Linked DNA regions of Oreochromis niloticus. The protein of the gene in region 1 interacts with the protein of each later gene in a pairwise test. Links are inferred from orthologs where the notes say so. Each region holds a gene or a part of one and is shown in the gene's direction. Other genes may lie near its edges.

Evidence for each region.
Region 2: the proteins of poli (region 1) and rev1 interact in a two-hybrid assay, tested with the Homo sapiens proteins (2 studies listed by BioGRID). The link is inferred for Oreochromis niloticus from reciprocal best matches to the Homo sapiens genes POLI and REV1.

The regions. Positions count from the first base shown.
Region 1 is NC_031977.2:28,645,440-28,649,361, reverse strand, and holds the start of poli (DNA polymerase iota), read left to right. Parts: upstream 1-1,141; 5' UTR 1,142-1,338; coding exon 1,339-1,432; intron 1,433-1,552; coding exon 1,553-1,672; intron 1,673-1,759; coding exon 1,760-1,924; intron 1,925-2,995; coding exon 2,996-3,142; intron 3,143-3,338; coding exon 3,339-3,575; intron 3,576-3,901; coding exon 3,902-3,922. Other genes in the region: RNA exonuclease 1 homolog, read right to left, coding at 1-369, 759-912. UniProt on the Homo sapiens protein: Error-prone DNA polymerase specifically involved in DNA repair. Plays an important role in translesion synthesis, where the normal high-fidelity DNA polymerases cannot proceed and DNA synthesis stalls. Favors Hoogsteen base-pairing in the active site.
Region 2 is NC_031987.2:21,426,568-21,430,489, reverse strand, and holds the start of rev1 (DNA repair protein REV1), read left to right. Parts: upstream 1-1,214; 5' UTR 1,215-1,758; intron 1,759-3,020; 5' UTR 3,021-3,618; intron 3,619-3,922. UniProt on the Homo sapiens protein: Deoxycytidyl transferase involved in DNA repair. Transfers a dCMP residue from dCTP to the 3'-end of a DNA primer in a template-dependent reaction.

The DNA.
Region 1 (3,922 bases):
TTTTCAACTTCTGCTCCTTTGTCAATGAGCTGAGAGAGAGCAAGTCTGCAGAGAAGTTGGATAGTGGGTCATACTCCAAATCAGTCCTCGGTTTTGAGTTGTCAACCACATACTTCTTTCCTCGCTGGTGTGCTTTAGTAAAATCTGTGCGAGACGATGGCCCATAAGCTTTTCTGTCTACAGTTTTACTCCCAGACTCACGCTTGGAAGCAGGCGTGTTGTTTATGCGGTCTGCCTGTACAGTCTGGTAGCGTGACAGTCGCCTCCGCTCTTGCTCCACCTCATGCCTTACAGATTCAATCTCCTTGTTGATCCGCTCCAGCTCATGAAGGCAGTCATCTCCACAGCCCGTATAAGGCCTCTGTCCTTCTGTTCAACGTGAACATGAAATAGGATAAGTATTTACTTAAATGTAAGTGGCAGCTTGATCATTTGCAGTTTAGTTTTTAAGCAGTTTTTGTGCTATATGATGTGTGAAGATCCTATCGTGCCCCTTTAATGAGAAAGTAGAACTCAGGAAAACAAGGTAGAAGGTAGTTTTTTTTAAGAAAACACTTGTCCTTACCTGCAGTTACAATAATGTGCTTAATTTTTATGTTACACCTGTAACTTTAAAAACCCTCTTAATCGATTTAAAAGCTTCTTATAATTCCCAGGGTTTATGGGGGTTTTCTTAAACAATTAAACCCTTTTAACAGGTAAAACAGCAAGCTAATGCACAAGTGTTCGAAGTCAGTTGGCATAGTTGAAGCACTCACCTGTGAAGTCCACTTTGGATGATTCAAATGAGACAGCAAACCAGTCCCGCGCCTGCTTTGCAGGATGTTTGTATAAACAGTGAGGCCGCTCACAACGCCCATGTTGTGAGAAGGGGCAGTTTATACCGGCAAAAAAGCCCGAGGAGGGAAACATTAGCCACTTCGCGCAATTTTTTTCGCAGTTTTTTTTTTTTTTTTTTATAATTAACGAACGGACGTTAGCAGTTGGAGCCTCCAAATTAACGTCAGGTGACGTCAGCCTCGTTTATATAGGTTCTGCTCAGGTCGCGTGACGACTGTTGAAAAACTCATTTTAATACCCTCAAATAACACATTATTCCGTAACATTTAAAAATTTTGATTTTATTTATTATGTTTGCAAATTTAAAAAAAAAAATGCATTTATAGAAACTTTTTTTTGTAGTTGCTGCGTTGCAGTAACCCCTCCACGTCGAGAGACGGCAACGTTGCACGTAACTGAATTGGGACCTACAATGAAAGAACTATTACGACAACAACAGCAGCAGTAGTCGTAGCAGTCTATATTTCTGCAAAATTTATTAAATTTGCGAGTTTTGAGATGGAAAACAGCGAGGATGAGGAGGATGAAAACGAGTGGAGGAACAGTTTCGTGGATTCATCGACACATAGCCCCCCTGCGGCTGCTGCTTCAGGTAAACTTGGAGACTTAAGCTAGGCAGTCTGAAACTGAAATCTGACAGTTGCTCTTTGCTTTCATATGACTTTCAGAGTTCGAGATATGGTAACTGTTGTACATATAATGTGTGTTTCAGGACCAAGCATCAGTAAAACGCCAGTACCTGCACACAGAGTCATTTTGCATTTTGACCTGGACTGCTTCTATGCTCAGGTGGAAATGATCAGAAACCCTGCACTGAGAGAAGTCCCGTTAGGTAAACTCGCATGCTATAAAAGCTGCAAAAGACAAAAGTGTAAAAAATATTTGTGCCAAAGCTTCTAAATGACTCTCATATCATCAGGTATACAGCAGAAGTACATCATAGTGACCTGTAACTATGTGGCAAGGGAGAGGGGTGTCAACAAGCTTATGTCTGTGACTGATGCTAAGGAGAAATGTCCTGAGCTGGTGCTGGTTAAAGGAGAAGACCTCACGCACTACAGAGAGATGTCATATAAAATGACAGGTAAGCAGTGCATCACACCAGTGTGACGTGACAACAGTGCTCTGTAGTAAATAAAGTAATTTTTTTTGTCGTAGTGTGCAGTATGACATTAAAGTGCACTCTGAGAAAATGTAATTGTAGTTGCTACAATAAAAGAAGCTTGGAAGATCAGACCAAGTGCTAAAAATGGAGATTAGGGTCGCACCATAGCAATCAGGTTGGACTTTGGTCCACTGCAGCATCTTAATTCTTTTCTTTTTCAGCCATTCTGCTGTAGATTTTCTTTTCAGGTTCTGTGGCTGCAAAACAAGCCCAGATTAGCACCATGCTTGACAGCTGGTATAAGGTGTTTGCGCTAATATGCTGTTTCTTTGATTTACAGCCAAATATTTCCACTTTGGCTTTGAAAAAAAAAAGTCATCCTTGATTTGTGCTGAATGCTTTTTATAGAGGTGGTCACACTTGCTGATGAAAAAATAATCACCTGCATTTGATTTGCAGCACCTGGCTGGTACTTTACCCTCTTAATTCCTATGGAGGTATTCATGTGGTGGTATGCTTAGTTTTTTACAGGGCTACATAGAGTCCTGTAAAAACTTTTCACATGACTGAGAGATGTGGGTAACAAGAGGGCCTTGCTGTAACTTCTTTTGACTAGCCATTTATGCCAGATGGTGACATGACCCTTAAAGTTTATCTGGGATGCCGTTTTTCTCCGGTGACTAGTGTTTGTTTCTATGACATGGACTTATTTTCAGCTTGTAGCAAGCAAATTAAATAGTGAGCTGCTTAAAGCAACAAGGTATCAAATTTTGGAGTCGGTCTCTTAAAGAAAATCATGATTTGGGCAACTTTTAAATGCCACAATTCATAATAAAAACAACCCTTTTTGACTCAACTGCTAAAATCTCCCATTTCTACATTTCAGCATTTGTTTTCCTCAAGAATGTAAACAGTTTTTAACCCACTGTTTGGTTCACCACCCTCCTGGTGTTCCTGGGTGGTTACTAGAAACTAAATGGAGTAAATGGAATTGATGTTTTCATCTGATAACCGTTTGTATATATTTACCTTTTCTCGTTTGCCATCCAGAGCTGCTGATGTCTTATTGTCCTCTCGTGGAAAGGCTTGGATTTGATGAAAACTTCATGGACGTCACTGAGATGGTAGAACAAAGGCTTGCACAGACAGTGAAGTCTGAAGACTTTTCATTTAAAGGACACGTCTACAATCATCCAAGTAAGTCACATTCGTGCTTCTCAAGTGTAGATGTACATCTGGCCCACTGAAACTGGGAAATGGCTCGTGAAAATAGCTCAAACTCGTGAGATATTTGCATAGTGCTTTCAGTTTCGTTCTTCATGAACAGCTCACCTGCAGATCCTAAACTGTATCACGTGTGCTCATACCCACAGTTTTTCCCCTTCCTGTTCAGGTGCAGATGTTAAAGCCAGTAACTACCCAAGGTTGGCTTTAGGTTCACACATTGCAGGAGAGCTCAGAGAAGCCGTCCATAGCAAACTGGGCCTGACCGGCTGTGCTGGCATCGCCACAAACAAGCTGCTAGCCAAACTGGTTTCAGGCACCTTCAAACCCAACCAGCAAACCACTCTGCTCCCAGAAAACATCAGTGACATCATGGGCTGCCTAGGCAGTGTCCGCAAAGTGCCAGGTATAGATGCTCTAAAAGATAGTTAATCATCAGTAGATGGTAGGTAGGTGAACAGAAGTACATAACATGATATGCATCGAGAAACCCGTGTGGTGTCCTCGGGATTCCCATATACTTGTTTGCCATTCACCTAGGGACCATTTTTGACCCGAGGACACCACAAGGGTTACGTTTTAATGACTTATAGTTGTTACACTGTTGTCCTTAACATTTGGAGCATTTTTAAAGATGCTTTCATCCAAAACTCACTGATGCATTTTTGTTGTGTCTCACATGTGTTAAGTATGTCTGATGATATATTTTGTGGTGCCATCTTGTATTCTCAGGGGTGGGTCACCAAACTGCTA
Region 2 (3,922 bases), on another chromosome or scaffold:
CTGTGCAATATTTGATGGATGGTTTGTTTTTAGAAAAAAGAGGAAAACTTGCAAGAGAATAAAATGTTTGTCCCTTTTTATTTTTGAGTGTGGAGTTACATAAAGAAACTTTGTAGTGAAGACGTCCCTCTGTCGGTTTACAAATTGGGTCTGGTTAAGGGTTACATGGAAATACATACAGGATGATCATCTTTTCCCTCAATGAGGAATATTTCTTCTAATAATCAGCATGTGAAACCCATCAGAAACCACTGGATGATGGCTGTATATAGTGCTTTTCTACTCGGAGCACTCAAAATGCATTTTACTAGAAGCCTCATTCTCCCAGTCACACACAAATTCTTACAAGTGCTTTTTTCTACACCTAAGCACACCCTGTCTAACATTTGCACACTCCAGTGGATGCACTAGGTTTCAATATCATCCCCAAGAAGACTGGAGTAGCTGGGAATTGAACTACTGACCTTCTGATTAATAGACAGCCTGCTCTACCCCAATGGTGAGATTACTTGAGAGAAAAGATGTGGGTGGCTAATCAGAGGCAATATGTGTTGCATGTGTTTCAGTGTACTTAATGAACCTTTAAATGAGTGCAGGTGTACGTTTATAGAAAGCTACTTTGCATATTTTTGACCTTACTTGTGAATAAGGACTGCTCAGATGGACACACTTTCTTATGAATGTTTCTCATTAGGAAACCTAGTTCATTATACTGATTATACCTTTGCTGACAGGTTCCTTTGATGATTTGGAGGAGGATCTTTTCTGGGCTTTTTTTCCATTACAGACACTCATGCACGCACACACAGTCATAGTTCAATGATTTGCACACAAGAGAGGAAGGTCCACACAATGTGACTGTAAACAGATTTATGTTCCCCAAAACATGAGTCATAAACACAAACACTCACACTGAGTGAAAGTCAGCCTCATTAGTCACCAAGTTACACTCTCCATCACTCCACTCCACCACTTCCTGCTGCACCAACACAGATGTCGCGCATGAAGCTTCAGCATCCGATGTCTGGTACCATAGCAACAGAGAACAACCAATAAGGGGTGGGGGTGCTTTTTGGGACAGGCTTGGGTCAGTAGCATCCTTGCTTTCAGTGAAATACGAGGTCTGCAAACACAATCAGTAGCAGACTACATGTTTATCCCCCTCAAAAATATGACCCACTTTATTTACACTTCCTTTAACACCAGCTCCTGTGTTGCAGTCTATATTTTAAACAAACCGATCAAAGATGGGAAAGCTTTAATTAAGTGTCCAAATCAAACAAGGTACTAAAGAGGAGACAGGGCCCAGACTATTTTTTTATGCTCCTCAGCGTCCAACCCACTTATTTTGCTAGCGATGGGGGAAACTCCACCCCGTCTTTGCTTTTGCTAGCGCTGTTTTTAATATTATGCAGGACTACGGTTAAAATAGAGAGCAGGTTCGCGCGGACGAGTGTTCACATCCTCGTTCGTGCTGCACGTGCCTCTGCGTCACGGCCGTCAGTTGCCTGTGAGATGAACGGCCATCTGAGGACAACCGTGCTGGGAGCCAGACAGTATACGCACACCGTGGAAAAAAACCGGTGGATGTGTGCGTGTCCCTAGACTGCTCCGCCAGCCGCTGTTGTGCCGCAGAAAAGCGGACACTTTGCACACAAACCCTCCTGAGTTCAAATGAGCAGCGTCACTCTGAAATAACCGAAGGTCGCAGCGACAAAATAGCAGCTTCACACCGGCGACCCGGTTTTCGGCTCCCGAGTGAGTAAATTAGCACCGCCAGTGGGTTAAAAACTGCACAGAGCTTTCATGAACTGTTATAGACAGTCCAGGTGACATGTACGTGACTGTCCGCGTAGTGGCAGCATCGCAGCTTCAAGCAAATACTGTATACAGTGCTGAAAACAAGAAGCCGGGGATGATGCGTCAAGCTACCTGAAAGGGTACCCGACGACCGGAAGTTGGGCGTATTTTGTTTTTGAAAATAGCGGTTTATGCTAGGCAAACTTTTCAGTTTAAATCAACAGATATATAGAAATGTGTGTTTGATTTTAAGGAAAGCGCACCAATTATCATTTGGTGTTTTTTCTACACTGCATATCATACATACAGAAATACATTTTTAAAAACTATAGAAAATCAAATGCTGTCCACATGTTGGAATATACTGAACGGTTATCTTAGCTTATGAGTGTGCGTTTTCCATAAGTTTAAAATATGACATAAAACTACCGTGTTAACAGTCTGGATATTGTAAAATAAGCTCATGTCTGCAGTGCGGTATATATGTGAGTAATCAGACACACCATAAGAAATTACACTGGAGGTATAGGTCAATTAAATTCCACATAATTTTGCTCCCTTACACAAAATGTTCCCATAGTGGTCTATTTTTGTTCTACCTCTTTTGGCTGCTCAATACAGGGGTCGCCACAGTGGATCATCTGCCTCCATCTGACCCTATCCCTCATCCTCCTCTGTCACACCAACACTCTCCATGTTCTCCAAGAACTTTGTCTGTTGTCTTCCTCATCTCCTCCTGACTGGCAGCTCCATGTCCAAGATCCTTTGTCCAGTATATCCACTGTGCCTCCCCTGCACATGTCCAAGCCATGCCAGCTTTGCTTTGCATTTGTCTCCAAATCGCTCAACCTGAGCTGTCCTTGTGATGTACTTCTTTCTAGTCATGTCCATCCTGGTCAGTCCCAGTGAAAATCTAGCGTATTCAGCTCGTGTCTTTTTATTGGTGTCACCATCTCCAAACTATACACCATAGCATCTCGTAAACCTTCCTTTTCACTCTTGCTGCCATCTTTATCTCAAAATCACTCTTGACACTTCTGAACTCCCTTCTTTACCTCCCCTGTACACTGCACATTGCTTTGCATGGTTGATCTCAGGTATTTAAACTTATCTACCTTCACTTCATCTGCTTTTTGCAGCTTCACTGTTTCCACAAAGCAGTTTCCTTCTCATTCACACACATGTATTCTGTTTTGTTTGTACTGACTTTCCATCTGCAGAGCATACCTCCACTTGACCAGGCTCACTACAGATCATGTCATCTGGAAACATATTGTTCCACGGAGACTCCTGCCTGACCTGTCGGTCGTCATCATTGCAAACAAGAAAGGGCTCAGAGCTGATCCCTAATGTAATCCGACCCCATCTTGACTCCATCTATCACACCTCATGGCAGCTCTGCACACCCTTGTTCCTGAAAAACATAACAGCCTAGTCGACAACTTTTATTTTGAAATTTTTGCTACCGGAACTACTTTTACCTTGCTCATTGGTGCTTACTGAGAGAGAGAAAAGAAAGCAAAGGGATTCAGGCGGTTGAAATGGAGAGCGAAGGGACTGGGAGGGTGAGTGAAAATGTTCAAGAGACATGGCGTGGCAGCATGACACAATAAAGGGGACCTCGGTTCACCAAAAGGAGTCCTCGGAATAACAGAATCGGGGAGGCGGAGGACTCGATCTGACTGTCTAGAGGATTTTCATCTCGCTTTGCTTTGGTCTTACCTCGTTTAACCCAATCAGTGGGCACACAACGTTTGAGCTGAGCAGTATCTGCAGAGAGAAGTCTGTGGCTAACAACCAAGTCTGACAGGATACAAGGTAAAGCACTTCTCTTTGCGAGCAACCACTCAGGAAGGTTGGTTTGTTTACAGCCTTGGTTATCGCCACACTAAAGTTGCATAGTCTTATAGCGCTGTTTAACGCTGGGTTGCTAATTCTGCCAGTATTGTTAGCAAGAGTCTGCAAAACACTCAAACTGTTCCTGATCCTTAATTTATAATACCATTTAGTGGCGTAGCGACATGCATTATTAACCAGCTAAAACCGCTTAGAGTTGCTAGGCTAATGTTAGCCGTCCACCTAGCTCGTACTTGAAAGAAGTGACAAAGTGCCACATGGGGCT